Linked DNA regions of Zea mays. The protein of the gene in region 3 interacts with the protein of the main gene of each other region in a pairwise test. Links are inferred from orthologs where the notes say so. Each region holds a gene or a part of one and is shown on either strand. Other genes may lie near its edges. The genes, in order: Protein SGT1 homolog, protein SGT1 homolog and suppressor of RPS4-RLD 1.

Evidence for each region.
Region 1: the proteins of suppressor of RPS4-RLD 1 (region 3) and Protein SGT1 homolog interact in a two-hybrid assay, tested with the Arabidopsis thaliana proteins (2 studies listed by BioGRID). The link is inferred for Zea mays from reciprocal best matches to the Arabidopsis thaliana genes SRFR1 and SGT1B.
Region 2: the proteins of suppressor of RPS4-RLD 1 (region 3) and protein SGT1 homolog interact in a two-hybrid assay, tested with the Arabidopsis thaliana proteins (2 studies listed by BioGRID). The link is inferred for Zea mays from reciprocal best matches to the Arabidopsis thaliana genes SRFR1 and SGT1A.

What each region holds. Positions count from the first base shown.
Region 1 is NC_050098.1:222,986,867-222,994,020, reverse strand, and holds the end of Protein SGT1 homolog, read left to right. Parts: intron 1-70; coding exon 71-140; intron 141-243; coding exon 244-368; intron 369-582; coding exon 583-712; intron 713-889; coding exon 890-986; intron 987-1,063; coding exon 1,064-1,129; intron 1,130-2,066; coding exon 2,067-2,205; intron 2,206-4,229; coding exon 4,230-4,312; intron 4,313-4,410; coding exon 4,411-4,515; intron 4,516-4,602; coding exon 4,603-4,710; 3' UTR 4,711-4,986; downstream 4,987-7,154. Other genes in the region: WRKY transcription factor 22, read right to left, coding at 5,428-5,881, 6,333-6,458, 6,587-7,044.
Region 2 is NC_050103.1:149,009,843-149,016,879, reverse strand, and holds the start of protein SGT1 homolog, read right to left. Parts: upstream 4,129-7,037; 5' UTR 4,050-4,128; coding exon 3,887-4,049; intron 1-3,886. UniProt on the Arabidopsis thaliana protein: Functions in R gene-mediated resistance, but participates in a lower extent than SGT1B to RPP5-mediated resistance. Not required for RPM1, RPS2, RPS4 and RPS5-mediated resistance.
Region 3 is NC_050097.1:242,701,345-242,707,744, reverse strand, and holds the end of suppressor of RPS4-RLD 1, read left to right. Parts: intron 1-142; coding exon 143-229; intron 230-306; coding exon 307-513; intron 514-1,306; coding exon 1,307-1,608; intron 1,609-1,677; coding exon 1,678-1,764; intron 1,765-1,897; coding exon 1,898-1,997; intron 1,998-3,031; coding exon 3,032-3,123; intron 3,124-3,230; coding exon 3,231-3,269; intron 3,270-3,354; coding exon 3,355-3,445; intron 3,446-3,667; coding exon 3,668-3,765; intron 3,766-3,877; coding exon 3,878-4,166; 3' UTR 4,167-4,489; downstream 4,490-6,400. Other genes in the region: eukaryotic translation initiation factor 5A-1/2, read right to left, coding at 5,065-5,169, 5,251-5,325, 5,421-5,477, 5,562-5,684, 5,978-6,100. UniProt on the Arabidopsis thaliana protein: Negative regulator of effector-triggered immunity associated with the EDS1 resistance pathway. May localize its interactors to a microsomal membrane. May therefore negatively regulate RPS4 and SNC1 translocation to the nucleus.

The DNA.
Region 1 (7,154 bases), on a different chromosome or scaffold from region 3:
TCATTGGCTTGCATATTTGGTTTTAAACACAATAAATGTATTGCACTAATGGAATCAACTAAACTTCCAGAGGCTGTGGCGGATGCTAACAAAGCAATTGAGCTTGATCCTATGATGCATAAAGCTTACTACCGGAAAGGGTTAGTGGCACTCTTCATTTTTTCAATAAAAGTTATACATGAACACTCCCATAACCCCTCTGCTACATTTTTATCTATGTACTAAGTTATTTCTTGTTTGCAGTGCTGCATGCATTAAGCTTGAAGAATACCAAACTGCAAAGGCTGCTCTTGAGTTGGGTTCTTCTTATGCATCAGGCGATTCAAGGTTTGCTCGTCTATTGAAGGAATGTGATGAGCGCATCGCTGGTGAGAAAAATTAACTTCAGCAGTGTGTGTGTATCTGGTGGTGATGTTGGGGTCTTGGGTATGCAATGTGGTGCATGCTATTTTCTGACGATATGAGTCCACTTAGCTGCCTTTCCTGAGAAATGTTTGTAGCAGCCTTGTAGACTGGGGGATGATTATGTTTCAGCTTAATCATCTCATACTACCTGTCATGTTATTTTGTTTATGTTTCCAGAGGAATCTAGCCAGGCACCAGTAAAGAATGTTGAGGCTACTGTGGCTGCTACTATTGAGGACAAGGAGGATTTCACAAATATGGAGAATACACCACCAGTGATAGAACCCCCAAGCAAACCAAAATACAGGTAACTCCTGTAAATTCCTAGAACTCTTTGAACCACCTAGCTTGGATTGAATGCTGTGTAATCAAACCACTTTACCTTTTCCCAGTACAGATTTGTTTACTGATAAGCATATTCTAATTCAGGCATGACTTGCTAGTTTTTTTGCTAAATTTTTCTCTTAAACAATTTGTGCTGCAGGCATGACTACTACAACAGTGCCACAGAAGTGGTACTGACAATATTTGCTAAGGGTGTTCCTGCTGATAGTGTAGTCATTGATTTTGGTGAACAGATGGTGTGTTCTGCTCATATTATTATTATAATTGTCTTGTCTGTTTTTACTGTATTCACTAATCTTGTTTCTCATTCTAGTTGAGTGTATCCATTGAAGTTCCTGGTGAAGAACCATACCATTTTCAGCCCCGTCTGTTTTCTAAGGTAATCACTCACCATTCTATTGTGATGTTACTTTTCATACTTATTATCTGTTATTAAGGTAAAGTGTGAGTTTTACTGTATAGCATATAGCTAGCACTTTGTCATTTTGTCTTCAAGACAAGGGTCAGATACAAAATAGAAATTTATTTATGACTTCTAGATGCTGAGTCTCAATCAAAAGGTCAAGACTGAAAAAATTAAATAACTCCAGAGAAACAAAACACACACACGCACACACAAGGTTCACTTTACATTTTTTTTCTACTGTATAAACACAGGCAATGGGGATTCAAATCAAGATGTTGCTTTGTGTTATTTTTTAAAGAAGTATTTAGCAGGTCCTGTGCTCAACTGTGATGTTTTTGGTTAATATTACCCCCCTGTAAAGTTCAACCACCTGTTTTTTTTGTGATTTAGCTAAACTGGTTAGCTAATAAGACATAGCAGTGTTTCATTCAACGATTTGGGTTTATACACCGCAGACAGCACAGTTCTTTTTTCTTCATCATATATAATGCAGTCAATGCAATTCTTTTGATAAGCATGGAATGACTTGAATTTGTGAACTCCAAAAATTGCTTCAACAGCACTTCTTGATTTGTTTCTAGATCTGCTCTTGGTAAATAATTTTGAATGCTTGTATAAAATTCATGTGTATCAGGTTTCTGAATGATTGTAAGGTTTTTTGTTAGTTTGTGGAAACTAAAGTGATGTTGCATTTTTGTTCTCTCTTTTTTCTTTGGAGTGACATATAAACCAATTAAGACCTGGTAATGGAGTCATTTTCTTTTGGTCTTGTTGACATGTGGGCCTGTCATTTAAATTCCGCATAGCATTGCTTGTCAATCCAGTAATGTTTGTGGACTGTACTTATCTAATTAGCTTATTGAATCCTTTCTTATGTGTGAATAAATGTTTTTATATTGTTGGAAATCAGATTATCCCTGAGAAATGCAAATATCAAGTCTTATCCACCAAGGTCGAAATACGCCTTGCAAAAGCTGAGCAGGTGACATGGACAACCCTGGATTATAGTGGAAGACCAAAGACTGTTCCCCAGAAGATAAGCACGCCAGGTAACAAATCTTTTAGAACTATTGCCACTCATCATGTCTGAGTCTCTGAAACTGTGATTTACTGATGATTTCCTTCCATCCTAGAGATGGGTCAAAGCATAATCAGGCACCTTTTAAGTGCTAACTCTGAATTGTGGGTAGGCCAGAGTTCTGAATTTTCTTTTGTTTCTTTGATCATCTTGTCGTTTGCTGGATGTTTTTATATGGGTAGTTAAGTATTTCTACCTCTACACCTTTCTTTGCTCAGTTCCATATCATTCACCTACCTTAGATTAGTCCGCACACTGTCCCCCTGAAACTAGTTTCGTGCCTGAAGTTTATAAGAGTGGATATCAGAATGATGGTGTGGAATGAAGTGCATTATAATAAAGATGCATGATGCACGGATGATGAATGATGACATCGTCCTTGAAAAGGACTTGGATATTCTAACATACATGATATTCATTACTATGGCATATTAGGGAAATTATGGTCAATGGTGTATAATATTGTCATTCAAGAGGACTTTGATATTCTAACATACATATACATGATATTCATTACTATTGCATATTGGGGGAAATTACGGTCAATGGTGTTTCATACTATTGATATCATTTCCTCTAATTCTTTACTGTGGTGTATTAGGGAAATTACGGTCAATGTGTATCATGGTTCATAGACGTTAATATCCTTTGCTCTAATTCACCTATTTGAAGTATTGATTTGCCAACAGAAGAAGCATAAGCATGTTGCCAACCAGAAGTATTGTGCTTGTAGTTATGCAGCGATATTAACAATAGTTATTAAGGCGACATAAGGCGATCGACCCCCTTTGGCCTTTTTAACTTTAGGCGGTAAAGAGTAAGGCGAAGTGACACCTTAATTATATAGATAAATATAAAAAAATTACACCAAATATTATTTATATACCACTGATTCAAAGGTAATAAGCAAGCTAGCACAACCGTAAGGCCTAGTAGGCCCATTTCAGCCTAGTGGAAGAGAGAAATAGGAAAAAGAAAAAAGAAATAATCCCACAACCATTCAACCCAACCCAACACAACAATTTTAGGGTTAAAACCTCACCAGTCACCACACAAATATCTCAGCCGCCAGCAGCTTTTCCCTCCCCGCAGCTCTCCTCCCTCCCCTGTGGCTCTCCCTCCTCTTCTGGCCGGCCCGGCCATGTGCTGCTGATGCTGCTTTCCCCGCCCCTTACTCTCGCTGGCAAGGCGACGCCTTGCATGTCTAGGCTCACCTTTCCGCTTAAGTGTTGCTTTAGTGACGCCTTAATAACCTTGATATTAACGAGTACTCTTTGACCGTGTCCAGCAGTTCACCCTTATGGTCACCAAAAACACTGTTTTGCATTGTAGACTGCACTGTTCGTAGGTTGAAATTTGAATATGGGTATGAGGATTGGTAAGCTGTTGGAGATTTCCTTAGAGACCATCTGTTGAGGTGACCTCATCTTGCTTTCGTCGGCAAGAATTTAAATTTTAAGTAATCATTAAATGAACTATCAAGTTAAAATTTATGGAGTTGTACACAATTTACTTTTAGGCTCCAGCAGCATACTCATCCCTATCATTTATTTTAAACTCCACTTTGTAAACAATATAATCTACAGTGTAAATGGTGTTTTGCATGGCCATATGCATGATCTGTTTGGCATAGCCTTACAATGGTCCATTTCTATTTCATTTCATGGTGGATGGTAAATGATTAAGCTTTATCCGGAACTGTGTACATGATAGATAGTTTGAGATGAACAACAACAGCCATCTCTATATGGTATTGGTCAACTAAACAATCTGGATTGTTGTTCAAGTGACTAGTGAGGCTACTAAATTTAATGTAATGGATTTGTGCACATGTTAGTTTTCTAGTGTGTCCATTTTGTGGTTCATGGATTGTTTGTACATGTTCTACAGTTTGCGATGAACATATTTCTGTATATAATATTGGCCAATCGACAATCTGGATCATTTCTTGAATCGTCTTGCATTTCTACATTTTTTTGTATATATGTTCTGCAGCTGAAACAGCCCCAAGACCTTCATACCCATCTTCAAAGGCGAAAAAAGACTGGGATAAACTGGAAGCTGAAGTCAAAAAGGAGGTTTGATGAAGATCCTCACTTATATATGTATCGATCTTATTGCTAGAACTTGGGTTTATCGAATATGAATGGGGTTTCATGATTTGTGTCTGCATCAGGAGAAGGAAGAAAAACTTGATGGTGATGCTGCATTGAACAAATTCTTCCGTGACATCTACAAGGATGCTGATGAAGATATGCGGAGGGCCATGATGAAGTCATTCGTACGTGATGTTTGGCCCAGCTAATACTGGATTTGGAGCCAACTGTATTTTATGTCTATACTCACGTATCCTTGCCCGTTTCTGCAGGTGGAATCAAATGGCACTGTTCTCTCAACCAATTGGAAAGATGTTGGAGCAAAGAAGGTAGAAGGGAGCCCCCCTGATGGTATGGAGCTCAAGAAGTGGGAATACTAAAGTTTGGACTGCCCATCTTTTGTAAATCCAGGTCTTGGAAACTATGACCTAATTCCGTCCACCCATAGTGCCATGAGCTTGCTTGGTTAAGTCTCTGCTTTTGTAAGCTTTCTGTATGACAGTCTAGCGTGTGTCTGAGTGCTACTTGCCGTAGCTTTTGATGGACATAGGTATGCTATTATGTGGTATCGACCGGGAACCATCTGTGGTATCAAAGACAGCAAACTATAATGTATGGAATGCCTATTCTTTTTGGTCTAAGATGTTTTTCTTGTCAGCGTAGTGTGATCTTCACAACTGAATAATAGAAACTATGCAGGGACCTATGTTACAGTGGTCCACCGTTGGCACAGTTGCATTTGCGTCTCTTTGGTGGATGAATTGAATTTATGGGAAAATTGATTTCTACCTGGCATTTATGCATCGGCGTTTTACTTGGTTTCAGGTTTCAGGTATGTTGCCTGGTTCATGCGCTCAATACAGCCAGGTGGCACCTGAATTATAGGAGTACATGTACAAAACTCAATGCGCACCGACTTCTCGGAGATTACGCAAGCACGATATACAACGGAAATTCATCAGCCCGTTAGTTTTCGGGGTCCTGTTTGTCAGAAACACGCACAAAAAAGACGCCTATACATAGAATCTCTTCGAGGCGAGGTCTTTTCGTCCTCCATTGCCATTGAAGGTTCTGATTTCTGGCGTTACAGCGCCCACCTAGAGGGAGAGCCGGCGTCCCAGTACGCCATCTTCCGCCTCGATGACCTGCTCGAAATCGAAGTCGTCGTCGACGGGCGCCAAGAGCTCGTCCAGGTCCAGCCCCTCAGGCCAGAACTCGCTGTCGTCGTCGACGGCCGCTATCTCCTCGCCGCCAATCTCCCCGGCCACCGTTGACGTCTCGCTGCTGCCATGCTCGCGGTCGCCGGTGCCACGGCCGGCCGCCTGTCCACCATGCTCGTGGCTCTTGGGAGAGGAGGCCGCGCTGTGCTCGGCGGCCGCGCCGGACGACGGCTTGTGGCGAGTGGTGCCCGCGAGCGCGTTGAGCTGCGTGGGCACGGGGTGGCAGTGCTCCGCCATGTAGGTGACGATGAGCACCCCGGGCTTCGCTGGGCTGCGCTCCACCAGCTTCCGCGCCATGCACCCCTTCATGCTGCTGCACTTGTAGTACCCCCTGCGGCCACAGATCAATTCCCATCGCAACAGTCGCGTTAGTTCGCTGAGCGTGCGGGCCAGCAGCCACAGGGTCAACTGCAAGCACGCAGTACGGCTATCGAATTACAGTATCTTGTACGTAGTACTGTACTGCAAAAAGCTTGATTGGTGATGTCCAAGTGGCTTTGGCGTCTCGCTCTTGTGGCTGAATTATCAAAGCTCCTAATTACACTAGCTAGGCTAGGACACCTATGCGAAGCCTCAAGGATGGCATGCATGCCATCCCTTTCTTCTTGTTTCCTTAAAGAAAAGGTGCCTTCTTGTTTCCTTAAGAAAAGGTGGCAATAATTAAGGTGTTGGGAGTGATTGAGTCAACGTTCGACGATAAGGCCACCTATACCAGCTAGCTAGTAGCAGGCAGTGAGTGCAACGCGTGGAAAGCATGTTAAGGCGAGGTCAAAGGTAGTTACCGCGGATAAGGCGAGCCCTTGATGGGCTTTTGGCCATACTTGCGCCACGCCCACGGGTCCGACGACGACGAGCCGCCGTCGGCCGCCGGCATCTCCCGCACCACCTTCTTCAGCTGGCTCTTCTTGCTGCCATACCACAACCAGGGAAGAAAAAAAAGAAGAGAAAAGCAATAAGCCATCATATCATCGCACCACCTTCTTCAGCTGGTTCTACTACTACCGTTCTATGCTGCACGGGACGACCGGTACGGTACCTTCTTTTAGGCCGCGAAGTGCGCGCGCCGGGCTTCCGGCCTGGCGGCGACGCCCTCTGCTGCGTCCCGGACGTGGACGCCGCCGCCGCCGCGGGGAAAGAGATCATCACCTCGCGCTCGCGCCCGCCGGCCCCCGCCCGCGGCCCCGGCGACGGCGACGGCGACGGCGCGGCCGGCAGCAGGAACGGCCTGTGGTCCAAGTCCAGGTACTCCAGGTCGTACAGGAGCGCCGCGGCCTTAGCCGCGGGCGGCGACGCCCGTCCCTGTCGCCGGACAGGCACCGTCGTCGGCGTGGCACGGGCGGCGGGCGCCTCGTCTCGCCGCGGCGCGGGCACCGGCTCCGGCGCTGCGTCTGGCTGATCCGCCCTCGGCGCCGCGGCGGCGGGCTCCGGGTGCGCCACGCTGCCGCAGCTCCTGACGACGGCCTGCAGGTCCCAGTCGTTGAAGTGCTCCGCCATGAGCAGCGGCTAGCATAGCACGCCGCGCATGAACCACGACGGGCGGTCTCTCGAGCGGCCTTTGGCGAGGCGGAGGGCCGGCCGGGACGCGTGCGTGCTGCTCGCTCCTT
Region 2 (7,037 bases), on a different chromosome or scaffold from region 3:
CTCCTTCGACACTCCACACATGAGTTGGTTGACCACACCGGCGTTGAGTGGTCAAGTGCCCAGGCACTCATCGATCTACCTCTGGCTATGCGATGTTCCTTAGGGACAACCTCATCTCCTATTCCTCCAAGCGTCAGCCCGTGATCTCCTGCTCTAGTGCTGAGGCTGAGTATCGGGTTGTTGCTAATGGAGTGGCTGAGGCGAGCTGGCTGCACCAACTCCTCTAGGAGCTTCATAGCCCCCTCACCAGGAGTACATTTGTCTACTACAACAACATCAGTCCCATCTACCTCTCTGTCAACCCTGTCTAGCACCAGTGCACGAAGCATGTTGAGATCGATCTTCATTTCGTTCAGGAGCACATTGCTATTAGGGTCGTTCATGCCCTGCACATCTCGATGACCTCGCAGTTTGCTAACATCTCCACTAAGAGACTTCCATCCTCAATGTTCACAGAGTTTCGCTCTAGCCTCAACATCTGTTATGGCTAGAGTTTCGTGTATGGGAGGTGTTAGACCGTGTGCTATTGTATGGTTGATTGTGTCCAAGTATTATGGGCCTAGAGCCTAGCAGATGTACAACCCATTAGGGTTATGGAGGAAACCTCGGTAGTGGCTGATATATATGTAATATTATCCATAAATTAATCCATCCATTCCACTCTAACATGAATAACACTACAAACTAAAAAGAAACTTCATGCAGACTTCCTTGTTACAACAAACAAAAAAAGTTGCAATGGCAACACCATGTAGTTTATTATTTTAGTAATTTGGTTATAATGATTCACATGTAACCGAAGCGAAACTTTACACACCACATCTTATTACTACCACACCATGCATTTCTTATGGTTACTACTGATTCAGACATAGCCAAACTTTGCATTATGTTTCTTATTGCAAACAAATACAATAATGACAGCAAATCAACATGTAGTTTCTTATTTTGGAAACTGCTGGTATGGATGCTGGTATGGATGTACAGTTAGGATGAGAGAGGAAACTAGAAGAAAACCAATGTTAAAGATGGTATACAACTATATAAAATATATAAAATAGGAGGCATTTTTTGGTCAAATTTAACTGCAGAATGTGGTCAGAATGAATTACTTGGCACTACAATCGTGCGCTAGCCTCTCTATCCGCTTCTCCCTCTCTCATGTGCCTCCGTCGCCAGCCATCGTGCGCTAGCCTCTCTCCCACCCGCCTTAGGTGACAAAGCAAGGCGGGGAGGACACCTTACCTCACTGGAGCGCCTTACCATCTAGGCGAAAATGCCTTAAAAACTATGTTCCAGAGACTCATACAACAAAATGACCTCACCCCATACTAAGACCAACAGAGATTAATACAATCTAAATCCTTCCAAATCACTGTGTCATCACAACTTCTTCAACATGCTGCTGAAACCCCTCAAGCCACCAATTGAGTTGTACTATTTCACATGTATACACACATTTCACCCGAAACTCTCGGAGCAACAACAAAAAAAAGCATAGCAATGAAGCAAGAAACAAGGGGTAACACATTACAAACCACATAAATGAAACTGGTAAGGAACTTGGGGCATACCTAAAAACATGCACAGCACCACGATAGTAGCGGACTAGGCGGATGCCTTACAACACACATTGCGACCCAACAATTAGGGAACTTTGGATAAAACGTATCACGCACCATTGTTATTAAAATGTCGTTTAAACATCGTTTAAACGTCGTTTAAGCGAGAAAACGTGATTAAAATTTGGAACGTCCGAGCGTTTTAGGTTTAGGGCGTAGAACGTCCGTTTCGAGCGTTTAAACGTCGTTTAAGTGTCCTAATAGCGTTTTAGGGTGTTTTACACGTTCTACCCGTCCTAGGCCTTTCTTGGGCCTTTAGCATTTTCTAGGTGGCCACTGGCCAGCGCTGGACGCACGCTGCGCTCCTCTCTCCTCTCCTCAGCCAATTGCCGCTCTCTGCCAACCGCTGTGGGGCTCAGCCGTGGAGGCACAACCGGCCGCCACCGCCGTCCTCCTCTTCTCCGTCGGCCAAGAACTGCGCCCACAGCAAACCTGCGGCCAAGACAAGAGACCTGCACTACACCCAACTGCCAAAGACAGGAGACCTACTCAACTGTGGAATCAATATTGGTGAGTACGTGAGTACTAATTTTGTGCAACCATATTGCCCAACAGTGAATCAATCATTCAATCTCTATTTGCTCAACCATATTGGTGAGTACTGATTCTATATTGGTTTGTGAACTCAACTTATGTATGAACTTATTCTATATTTGAATTTCTATGCCAAGTCTGAAAAGACGTTTCAACATTCGTTTAAATGTTACAAAGTTGGTTCATAACGTTTTACCGCTTTAATAACCATGTCACGCACACATCAAAGCGACAAGTAGGGCACTAAGAATATACATTGCAACGCACGGCTCAAAGCTATATCCCAAACATAAGGGCATGTACAATCCATTGAATATGGGTTCTCTTGCGAGGTTTTTAGGAGGTTAAATAAAAAAGTACCAGAGACAGTCTTCACAAAGAGACTGTCTCTATGTGACTCTCTATATATATTGTGTCTTCACTATATTTATAAACTAGAGGCTCAGGGTTGTATCGTACCATCTGTTAGCTGTCTCTTATATATAGAAACCCGATACAAGTGCTCAAAGTTGTACATGTCCTAATTAGCCATGGACATTTCACGCAATTTGAATCTTCATACTCCACAGTACACACAACATACAACAACGAACTAAACTCTGGCTAATCATATTCTCAACTCTAATCGGCCATTTCAGAAACACCAATCATCTAGTGCCCTCTTTGAAATTCAAATCGGATGATTCATCGCCCAAGTCTACACCAAAGGTCGACGTTGACCTCCCACACCCTACCCTAGAATCGCCACGAGCGAGCTCATTACAACAACAAAACAGTGAATCAAACTAGCCTTCTAAGGCCATCTCTAGTAGATCCCTTATTCATCTCCTATCTCATCTACTATTTCAAACTTCACTCTACAAATAGTATCGAATAGTGTTATCTACAGTGTCACGTCCCATATTTTACACGATCCGCCGAAGACGGCCTAAAAGCCGCACAACACTATACCAGACCCTTGCGGTTACATTCACACATGTTGGATTTATGGGCTTGACTCAATTTCAATTGAGAAATTCAATTAAATCTTAGGAAAATTATAAAAGCCCATGTGTGGCAAGGGAGATAGCTATTCGATCGCAACCTTATCGAATCACGATCGTATCGGATCGCGAGCTTATCGGTTCATGGACATGACCATATATAAGGCGTCTACCAACCATTGCCAGAGAACATCCCATCCCAACCTAAGTTAGGTTTTCGCCTCTGCTTACAGCTGTGACGCCATCGTAGTCCTCTTCATCCTAAGCATCGACGTGCATCTGCGATCGGGAGAGCAGGTCTCTGAAACCTATCGCCTTCGAGATTCTGCACCGGAAGAGGACGAATAAGGTTTTTGGGAAACGTCTTCACGTGACTGCTCGTGTTCTTCTCATCGACCCTGCTGCTTCGAATGACCCTGCTGCTTCGAAATTATCGATGTCTGATCAGTACGTATTATCTAATTTGACTTTATACTTCAGTTCATCTGTTATGGTAGAGATATACTTCAGTTCATCTGTTATGATAGAGATGTGCTGTATTTTTATAATTATATCGCTAGATAATAGGTTACTTGTGCACCTAGACTATTTATCGTTGATCATGATTTACATTCGGAATTGAATATGTAAAATGTCTAATTATTCAACAACACCCACGCTCGCTCGTCGAACTACTGTCCTCACACGTCAGCGCACAAGCAATCGAATCAGGTTGGGGGAGGGGGGGGGGGGAGGCACTGCCCGCACCAGTGTAGTTGCCGAGCTTGATGTGCGCCTGGGCGCGGTCGGCGTAGAGATCGGCAGTGGCGGGCCCGGCGTCGATGGCCTGCGTGTAGAGTTCGGCGGCCAGCTCGAAGTCGTCGTCGACGAAGGCCTCCTTGGCTTTGCTCTCCAGATCCGACGCGGCCATGGCGCTCCCTCCGGCTCTGGGCGTCTGCTGCCGACGCGACCAGACGATGACTTGAACGAGAGCAAACAGAATAATCGAGGTCACTCGTACGTGGCCACGTGGGCAGGGCAGGCGAAGGGATGGGGTTAACGGCGCAGCCTTTTGAATGGCCCGCGAGGTTCTAGAGAGTTCGATGAGTTAGAGGCCGAGGCTAGGGCGGGCCGGGGTTTAGCTGCATCATTTGCAGCTTGCGGATTGGGCTTCTTGTGCTTTTCTCTCTCTTTCTTTTTCTCTTTTGTGTGGGTCAAGTTGTCGGTCGTACTATGATTTTTGTTGCGAGAAAGGTTCGCGAGCCGCTAACTGATTGGTTGATTTGATTAGTTGGTGACTGTCGATTTGACTCTTATCTCTACTAATCCTTAAGGCAATAGTGTAGACTAGGCACAACCATACCCCCGCCTCCATCTCGACCGTCCGATTACCACATCAATCTCGCCTCCATCTCGACCGTCTGATTGCCTCGCTCTCGCTCTCGCTCCCGCAGCCGCAGCCGCAGCCGCAGCCACAGGCACCCGGCCATGCGAGCAGCCACCCCCGCACCCGTCTCCATCTCGCGCAGCCATGCCCCCCAACAACCACCCGTGTCCCGCCCCAAACCCCCGCTGCCATGCGCGCAACCGCCCCCGACCATGCGCGCAGCCTGGTGGGGCTCGGGCTCGGTGGCATGGTGGGCGCTGGCGTGTTCGTGACCACGGGCCGGCGCCGCCCGCCTCTACGCGGGGCCCGGGCTCGTCGTGTCCTACGCCATTGTCGGCCTCTGCGCGCTGCTCTTCGCCTTCTGCGTACGACTCCGTGGACATGGGCGACGGCGAGCTGGTGGTCCTCGACAGCCGCGGCGTGCTCCCTTGCTTCCTCATCATCTGCAAGGTCTAGCCGCCGCCGAGCCGACTCGGGACCTGACTGGAGCACTGACCGACCGTCGTGACCGCTAACCGCCATCGTTACTGTCCACGCTAATCGCTAGGCCTCTCTAGCATTGTTTTGGGACCCTGCTTTTCAGCAGTGTTAGCCTGTCAGGTGTGGATGAGCCACAGGAAATGGAGCCCGAGAGAGGGCTGATTTCTCTGTTGTGTGTCTGCATGCCGTTGTCGATGAGTTGCGCAGGATGCTGGATCCCGGGAAGCCATCTTTCACCCCCAGCAAAGGGAAGCCCAATTTGGTCATGTTCGTCGGCTTGTAGGGTCAGTATCGTTCATCTGCCTAATTGTTCGTTACATCTTATTCTTACATATAATGTCGAATTGCTTGTCTCCATTGATTGTGCAAAGTACCATACACACAGTAGAAGATGCATGTCTTCGTTCAGTGTTTATTTCCACACACCTGGAATGAAACAATAGAAGGTGTTTGTTTGATAAATCATTAGCAACAAATTATGTAGTTATTTCTTTTTCATGTTTAAATTGGGCGTATTTGTCACTGATGATTATATGTTTAAGGCCTTTATTTCAAAGGTTTGGGGCTGCCTATTTTTCGGGGGTGTTTGAATCTCGAAATGGTATAGAGAAGCATTCTCTTTTGCTTTCGCCTGTCCATTCAAACAGGTTATCTCTTCCAATCGCGTCGCTCTGCCATCCAATGTACCTTGGCCTTCTTTGCTTCTGCTCTGGTGCAATTTGCAGAGGACGGAAGAAGACTGAAAGCATCCGATCTCCCGGACGGCTCCCAACGAGATTCACGACTTCTCAATTCTCATCATCGTCCCTGTTTAAAGTGCTTTTGGCGCTACGCCCGGGTTCTCTTCTTCCTCCCGACGTCGCCGCTCGTCCATTTGCTCCCGTCGATCAATCTCTTCGTCTGTTTCCTTCCGTCGACCAAGGATCATGATTTTTTTCCAGCGCCAATAGGTTTCCGTGACACACGATTTGGCTGTATGCGTTGGCAACATCTTAGGGAGCCAGGCGATCGAAGAGGTTGGCCGTTGCCGGAGCGGGGCTCGTGTTGCATTTGTACTAGAACGAGACTTAAAGTATGCGTTGGTGTGTAAAGCTAGATATTATAACATCAGTGCAAGTGTGTAAAGCTAAATATTAAATGTTCTCCCCTGGTTTATGATTAATATTAACTCGAACAAAGAATTCTATTGTTGTCAAATGCCATTTTTTTACATGTATGCAAGGAGCAGTTGCTAGAATATTATAATTGGTAATTGGTATATAAACATCAGTTCCCATTGTTTACCACATATCTTTTCTAAACGTCATTTCTATTTATTGTGAGGGATTTGTTACAGAAATCATCCTCTCAGGCGGGATTTCGGTGCCAAATATCATATCGGCGGTGGAGGGGGCTGTCGGTCTCGACGACCGTGGCTGGGCGGTGAAGGACTCCTAGCTCACGCTTCTTCCAACTCACCCTGACAGTTGAGGCTTCCTTCTCTCTTCATCACAATCTTAGGTTGCTCTTCGAGGTTCTGAATGTTCTAGATTGTAGGTTTTAGGCAACGTTCTCCAGTTTTCATCAGTCATAGGAAAATATATTTTGGTATCTAGCAAACTTGTGCTGTATAAATTCTTTCATGCGATTTATGCGAGTTTTGGTATGGACTGACATAGCATTGTTTCGATAGGTAAACAGACTAAACTAAGTTTACATTTATACTCACAACAATAGATGATGTTTAATCACAGATTTTGCCGTCACTATTGTACTCACGTCGCCCGTCGCCAGGGCCCTAAGTCCATTGGAGGGTCGCAATTTGTGTTCCGTGGCATCGCACGGGCACGTTCCTAGTAATCATATATGACCGTATATTGCTACGGTTTATATATATATGATATAAGATAAATTTTGTTTTAATAAAGTATAAAATATATATTTTCTATTGATTAGGTGGTTGTGAATGTGGAGCCAACAATCAAAGTTCAAACACTCACTTATACATAATTTGAACTTATTTTTTACATAAACTCTCCTATTATAGTAGTAGATAAGAGATTATAGGAGTGC
Region 3 (6,400 bases):
ATATACTTAGATCTAGTATATATCTAAATGCATAGCAAAAGCTATGTACTTGGAAAAGCCAAAACGTCTTATAATTTGGAATGGAGTAATTTTCAGGTTTCATTTATTCTCTTAATAATATATTATTGGGGTTTTCTTGCAGAAGGAAATGGCTCTGTATATTGCTTCAAAGGCCAATTTAGAGTTCTCTCAGTTCAACATTGATGATGATGTTGACCCACTATTTAAGGTTAAGGTTATCCCATGTGCCTGTTACAATTCATTTGTGGTGCATCAAACCTAAAAGGGCTTCAATATGATCAATAGGAATACTGGTGCAAACGACTACATCCCAAAAATGTGGCTGAAAAGGTTTATCGCCAGCCACCGTTGCGGATCTCATTGAGAAGTGGGCGCCTTAACAAGCAAGACTTCAAATTCACAAAGCATCAAACAACTCTTCTTCTAGCTGCAGATTCAATTGGGAAGAAGATTCAATACAATTGTCATGGCTTCTTACCAAATCAACGTCAGGTATCCCTCTTGAAGCTTTACATTTTCCAATTGCTTCGCTGCCATCAAAATTATCCACCATGTAATTGTTCGACTGTCCAGACTGATGAGTGCTTCAGCTTCACCATGACCTCAGTTCTTTATATGTTTGAATTAATATTGATTACAATTAAGAATGAAATAGATCTGCACCTAGAATTTTCTACAGGTGGAATGTGACATTATTTGAGAGGTTGATTACATTGATTATGGTAAAGCATCAATCAATATATACATTTGAGGGAGTATATTGTGATGCTTACCTTGCTTTGTTTTAGTTGATATGCAAGGAATACTGTATTGAGTTCTCTACTGTCACTGGGTGAACACATAGAAGTCTTGTTGAGGATATTACTGAAGGATAAATCAAGCTTGCTGGGGGAATATACATATGTAGCTTTTTTTGTGCCTCACTTATCTGGATAAGTTTTGATGAATGCTCTTTTACATAGTTGCCTCTCTAGACATGCTAGCAGAGATTGAGCACTAACCCAGTTCTGAACTGCATGATGTTGGCCAGTGATGGCCTGGCTACTACTCATTTACGCTTGCTTTCTCCCACTGTGCTTGTATAATTAGAGTTTATATACCAGAGTGCTTCCCAGTTTGGGAATTGTGGAATGCCAGAGTTCTGTGCAGATTATTGGTTATTTCAGTTAATATTACATTTTCTAATTGTCATTTCATTTATTTTAAAATATATTCCAATACTCTTTATCGGTGCACTGTGGTCAAAAGTTTCCTGCTGTGCTAAAATTCCGTTTTACTTTTGAAGTACCGCATGGCCGGGTTGGCTGCTATTGAGATTGCTCAGAAAGTGTCCAAGGCTTGGCGCTTTCTAAGGAATCCGAAGAACATCGCAAAGTTAGTTAGGAAAAGGGATAAACTTAACATGAGCCAGAACAGGGGAGGTTATTGTAGCACTAGCACTTTGGCTGGATCTCCAACTTCCAGCCCAAATGAAGACAGGGTCTCCTCCGGGATCTCTCTTTCCTGGCAGGATGTCTATAACATTGCTGTTAAGTGGAGACAAATTTCTGAACCTTGTGATCCAGTTGTTTGGGTCAATAAGCTAAGGTGAGCTAAATGTTTGTACATGGAATACTAAACTGTTTAACAATTTTCTTACTCTTTCTCTTTTACCAGTGAAGAGTTCAATTCTGGATTTGGTTCTCATACCCCAATGCTTCTTGGTCAAGCAAAAGTTATTCGCTACTATCCATATTACCAAAGGTTGAAACATCATCTGTTTGCTATTTGGTTATTTTTAACCACTAATGGTCTACCTAACAAACATGATTGAGACTAAAAGGAGGTTGATATGTTGTCTTTGTATAGTCAATAATGGTCTTGTTTTCTCATACAGAGTCTTGGAAACTGCGAAGACTATAATGCTTGACTTGAAGTATGTCAATAATGCAGAGGACCGTGCAATTTTTCTTACAGATATTGACAAGTTGAAAAAGGTAAGCCATGCAGCAGTCTGTCGAGTAACATGAGCTCATGGTCAATATCAATGCCTCCATTTATTTTCTCAGCCACTGTATTAAGTAGATGAAAAGAAGTTGCAAATAAAAATACCCCAGGTCACAAAAACAAAAACAAAACACACCCAAATGTACACAGGGGTTACTAACTAAACATTTGCACCACACATACAAAAGGGAAAAAATGACCCAGGAACGCTATCAGTGCAGCAGAGCAGAGAACATTCTCCCTTTCCATCCCTGCCATGCACCAGAGACTTGACTTTCCCCAACACTAACCTGATGACTGTATGCATACTGAACACTGCCCTCTCAAAGATGCATACGTTCTGCTGTTTCTAAATCCTCCCTGCGCACAAGATGACCATGGAATGAAATCTGCTGCGTTGTTCCTTCACCAGCCTCTTAGTTGCATTTGCCACCATTCTGTGAAACCATCTGGTATACATTCCATTGGAGCAAGATATTGCAGTCCCATGAGTCCCAAATCGAACCTGTTAGCATGTTTCAAAATGGATAGGTAATGGTAATTTTTTATAGCGAAAGGGCCTCTAGCTGAGTTGGTTATGTAGTTTGAATAGCACTCCTCAGGTGAGTTCGATTCCCTGTGGGAGCGAATTTTAGGTTGGGGTTAAAAAAAAAAAATCCTCTCATATGTCCCACACCAAAGCACAGATCTAAGGCCTGGCGGTCATTCTCACATGCGCTACAATACCGCTGTGTTTGAGTAGGGCAGGGGTTTGGGAGTTTTTTCGACCTGCATGAGAAGGTCTTAATATACAATATCGCGGGGGCAGTCTTACCCCAACATGTCGAGTTTTTATGGTATTGTTTATCGCTCCATTAGATCTATTTCTTATTGTATGTCAAGGGCTGATTACCTTTTGGATGTGTTGAGCAAGATGGCTTGGATTTGATTGATTCTCATAGTAGTTTGTCATAGCTTTTCGGCAATGTGGAAGTTATGCTATGTTTTTGAAAATCTATGTTCTCATGAGAGATTACTCCTGCAGATAGAAATTGCATCGTCATGCTCAGATTTGTACCATGTAGTTGGTGAGACCTACTGGGTTGCTACAAGATGTGATAGTATGGCGTTTCGGGGGTAATTAACTTTTTTTTTACCTACATCAGACTTCAGAGAAAGTATTTAGAAAAAGAGTATCACACTATCCCTTGGCTTACATACTAACATAACATGCTTTCTTTCAGGAGGCGCCTTGAAGGGACAAGAATTACCACTCAAAACATGCAAGTTTGCTAGACACTTCTCTTGTTTTGCTCTTGGACTATGCTCTGTTGCTATCTACTGCTTACTTGTGTGATGGTACTGCAGAGGCAAGACAGGATTTGACTTTGCAATTCGAACACCTTGCACGCCATCGAGATGGGAGGAGTATGATGAAGAAATGACTGCAGCCTGGGAGGTACAGTTCAAATTTATTGTAATGTTGCTTATGACTTTTTTTTCCCCGAGTTTGGAGAAGGTTTGGTATGGGAAATGTTTACAGAGCATGACATTCTCCAACTGTATAATATCAGAGAATGCCTGTAATGGAAAGAGTTTAAGTCGTATTCAGACCCAATATGTGCTTAGGACTTGTATTGCTAGTTTATAATGAACCTAAGACATTTGTTGTGATCTGCAGGCTATTTGTGAGGCATATTGTAATGACACAAACCCCACACGAGACCCTGGTGTGCTTGATGCTGTGAAGGACGCGATATTGCGGATGACATATTACTGGTAATGATTGCAACCTCTACTCTCTCTCTCTCTCTCTCTCTCTCTCTCTCTCTCTCTCTCTCTCTCTGCACTCCCAACAAAATGATCCTAATCAATGTGGTGGATTTTGCAGGTACAATTTTATGCCTCTTTCGAGAGGCTCGGCTGTTGTTGGCTACGTAGTGTTGCTCGGTTTATTCCTGGCAGCAAACATGGATATTACTGCCAGCATTCCACCCGGTGTCCAAGTTGATTGGGAGGCGATCCTGTCTCCAGATCCCGGCACATTTGTTGACGCCGTGAAGCCCTGGTTGTACCCATCCACAAAAATAAGCAGGTGCCTGAAAGATTACACGGACGTCAGCTGCGCGTTCAGCACGACAGGTTCGGTTGTAGCGGCCCTAACATCTGTTGACCCATAGGTTATTTGTCCAAGTGTTATAGGTTGCTCCAGTTGTTAGTGTATTTGTTTCAAAATACCTCAGCTTTGCTTAGCTTGTCAGAATTTCTCAGTTTGCAAAAAGTTTGTATGTTTCTGTGTTGTATACAGATATGCAGTAATGTTGTAACTTGAAAAAAAATAAGATTTATTTTCATTGGAACAAGTTTTTTTTTTTTTTTTGTAATAAACAGTTAAACACCAATAAGTTTTGCAGTTACTTCTTGGATGTTTGTATGCCATGGTATATGGTCTTGAACACTTAGCCTAGAGGATTTCCCTCTTATTTATAGAGCTATTACTCAAGGCCTTGTGGTATTTGACATTTATCAGAGTCCATAAGCACGAATCCACTACTTTCACCATCATCATTGACTGACTTCGAGCTCTACACATACGCAAGTCAAGAGACATGTACAAACACGGTTGAGAGGTGTTGCGTTGCCTGTCGTCCAAAGGAGTTGATGTGGTCTTGGTATTTTGGACCTTCGTAATGCTGGTTTGGCCTTTCGGTTAGGTTGGCCCAACTGCACAGAGCCTCCTCTTGCTGTGTTGGATATTTTAGATATATCTAAATCAGCGAGATATACAGAAAATGAACACGAGCAGACCGTCGCAACCCTCAATACAAAGGCATAGGATAGAGCTGCTGCCGATCCTACAAGGCATAACAAGACTGTAGGCAAGAATTTAAACCAAATATTTCAACTGAATACATATTGACCATAACTAAGTTGAAAAGAATACCACAGATCGCTAACCAAGTAGAGTAGTAACACCAACCACCTCGACAAATTTCCAGGTAAACCCAAAACCACAGATAACTTATACGCTTTATCTATGCATCTCAACTCTAAGCACACGAGACAGCAGCAGCGGCTTTAGTTCTTGCCCCCGATCTCCTTGACAGCGCAGATCTGTTCCTCGCCCATGGAAGACATCACCGTCAGGAGGAGGTCCTTTCCATCATCATATCCGCTCTTGATCTGCAGACGTAGAGCGAAATGTCTCAGTCTCAGAGACCTGGAACAGAAGCGGTGGAGGGGAATCTGCCGCCGCTAACTGACCTGGCCTTCCAGAGCTTCATCAGTCGGAAGCCTGAGGTCATCCTTAGTGTTGCCACTGTCAGTCAAAAGGCTCACCTGTAAAATGCTCTCATCGATCATTATAAACTAAACTAAACTAAACCGGAAAGTATTACAGAAATGCCAGGTTGTTGCAATGGAAGCAAACGCACAAATCCATCTTCAGTGATGTCAATCAGCTGATACTCAGTGCGATCAACATGGGGAACCTGTACAATGCACGGACAAGACAAAAAGGTTACGTGCACTCATAACTGAACAAGCAACCACAAGGAGTGACAATGATAGCTTACATCACAGTTGTGAGAAGAAGGAACAATATCCTCAAGCTTCTTTCCAGTGAAAACGTCAATGCCAACAAAGTGGCACTTGGCATGCCCATGCTTCCCAGTCTTGGAAGTGGAGACCTCAACAACCTAAAACAAGAACGTATACTAAATTGTTTAGACATGTTCAGACAACATGTTAGGTGCAGAACCACCACATGGGAATAGCCCCATGGAGCACTTCATCCAGATGGAAACTGTGGCAAAATTGAAACCAAATCTTTATCCTACAGAGCGGCACTGTAGGTCACGGTATACATATCCATAGACACATCTGCAGCAAAATCCTTCCAGGTGTGAATGCAGCAGACCCAGCACTTGAAGTATATCTAAATCCACAGCTAAGAAATCTGCCTCAAACATGCGATGGCCAAATCTCTCACCTTGCAGGGACGTCCCTTGATGACGATGTAGCCGTTCTTGCGGATGGTGCCGGCCTGCTGCGGGTAGGTCTTGGAGGCGCCGGCGTCGGCCTTGGACTCGAACTGGTGCTCCTCGTCCGACATCTCCGGGAATCTTACAGGGATCCTATAGCAACAGTAACAAGAGAAGAATGGCGGCAGCAAGAAGAAGAAGAGCGCACGAAGGTGAGAAACAGAAAACGCAGAGAGCTGGCAGAAAAAACTTTCAAGAGATCTGAATCGAGGAACTCGCTGCTCACCGGTGGAGAAGTATGAGAGGAGATTTGCAGGACGGATCCGCGACCGCGAGGCTCGGGCTCTACGGTTCGGTTTCTGCCAGATTTTTATCAGAGGGCGTCGACCGATGGGACGGGTATTGGGCTGTCACTCGTGATGGGCCATGAT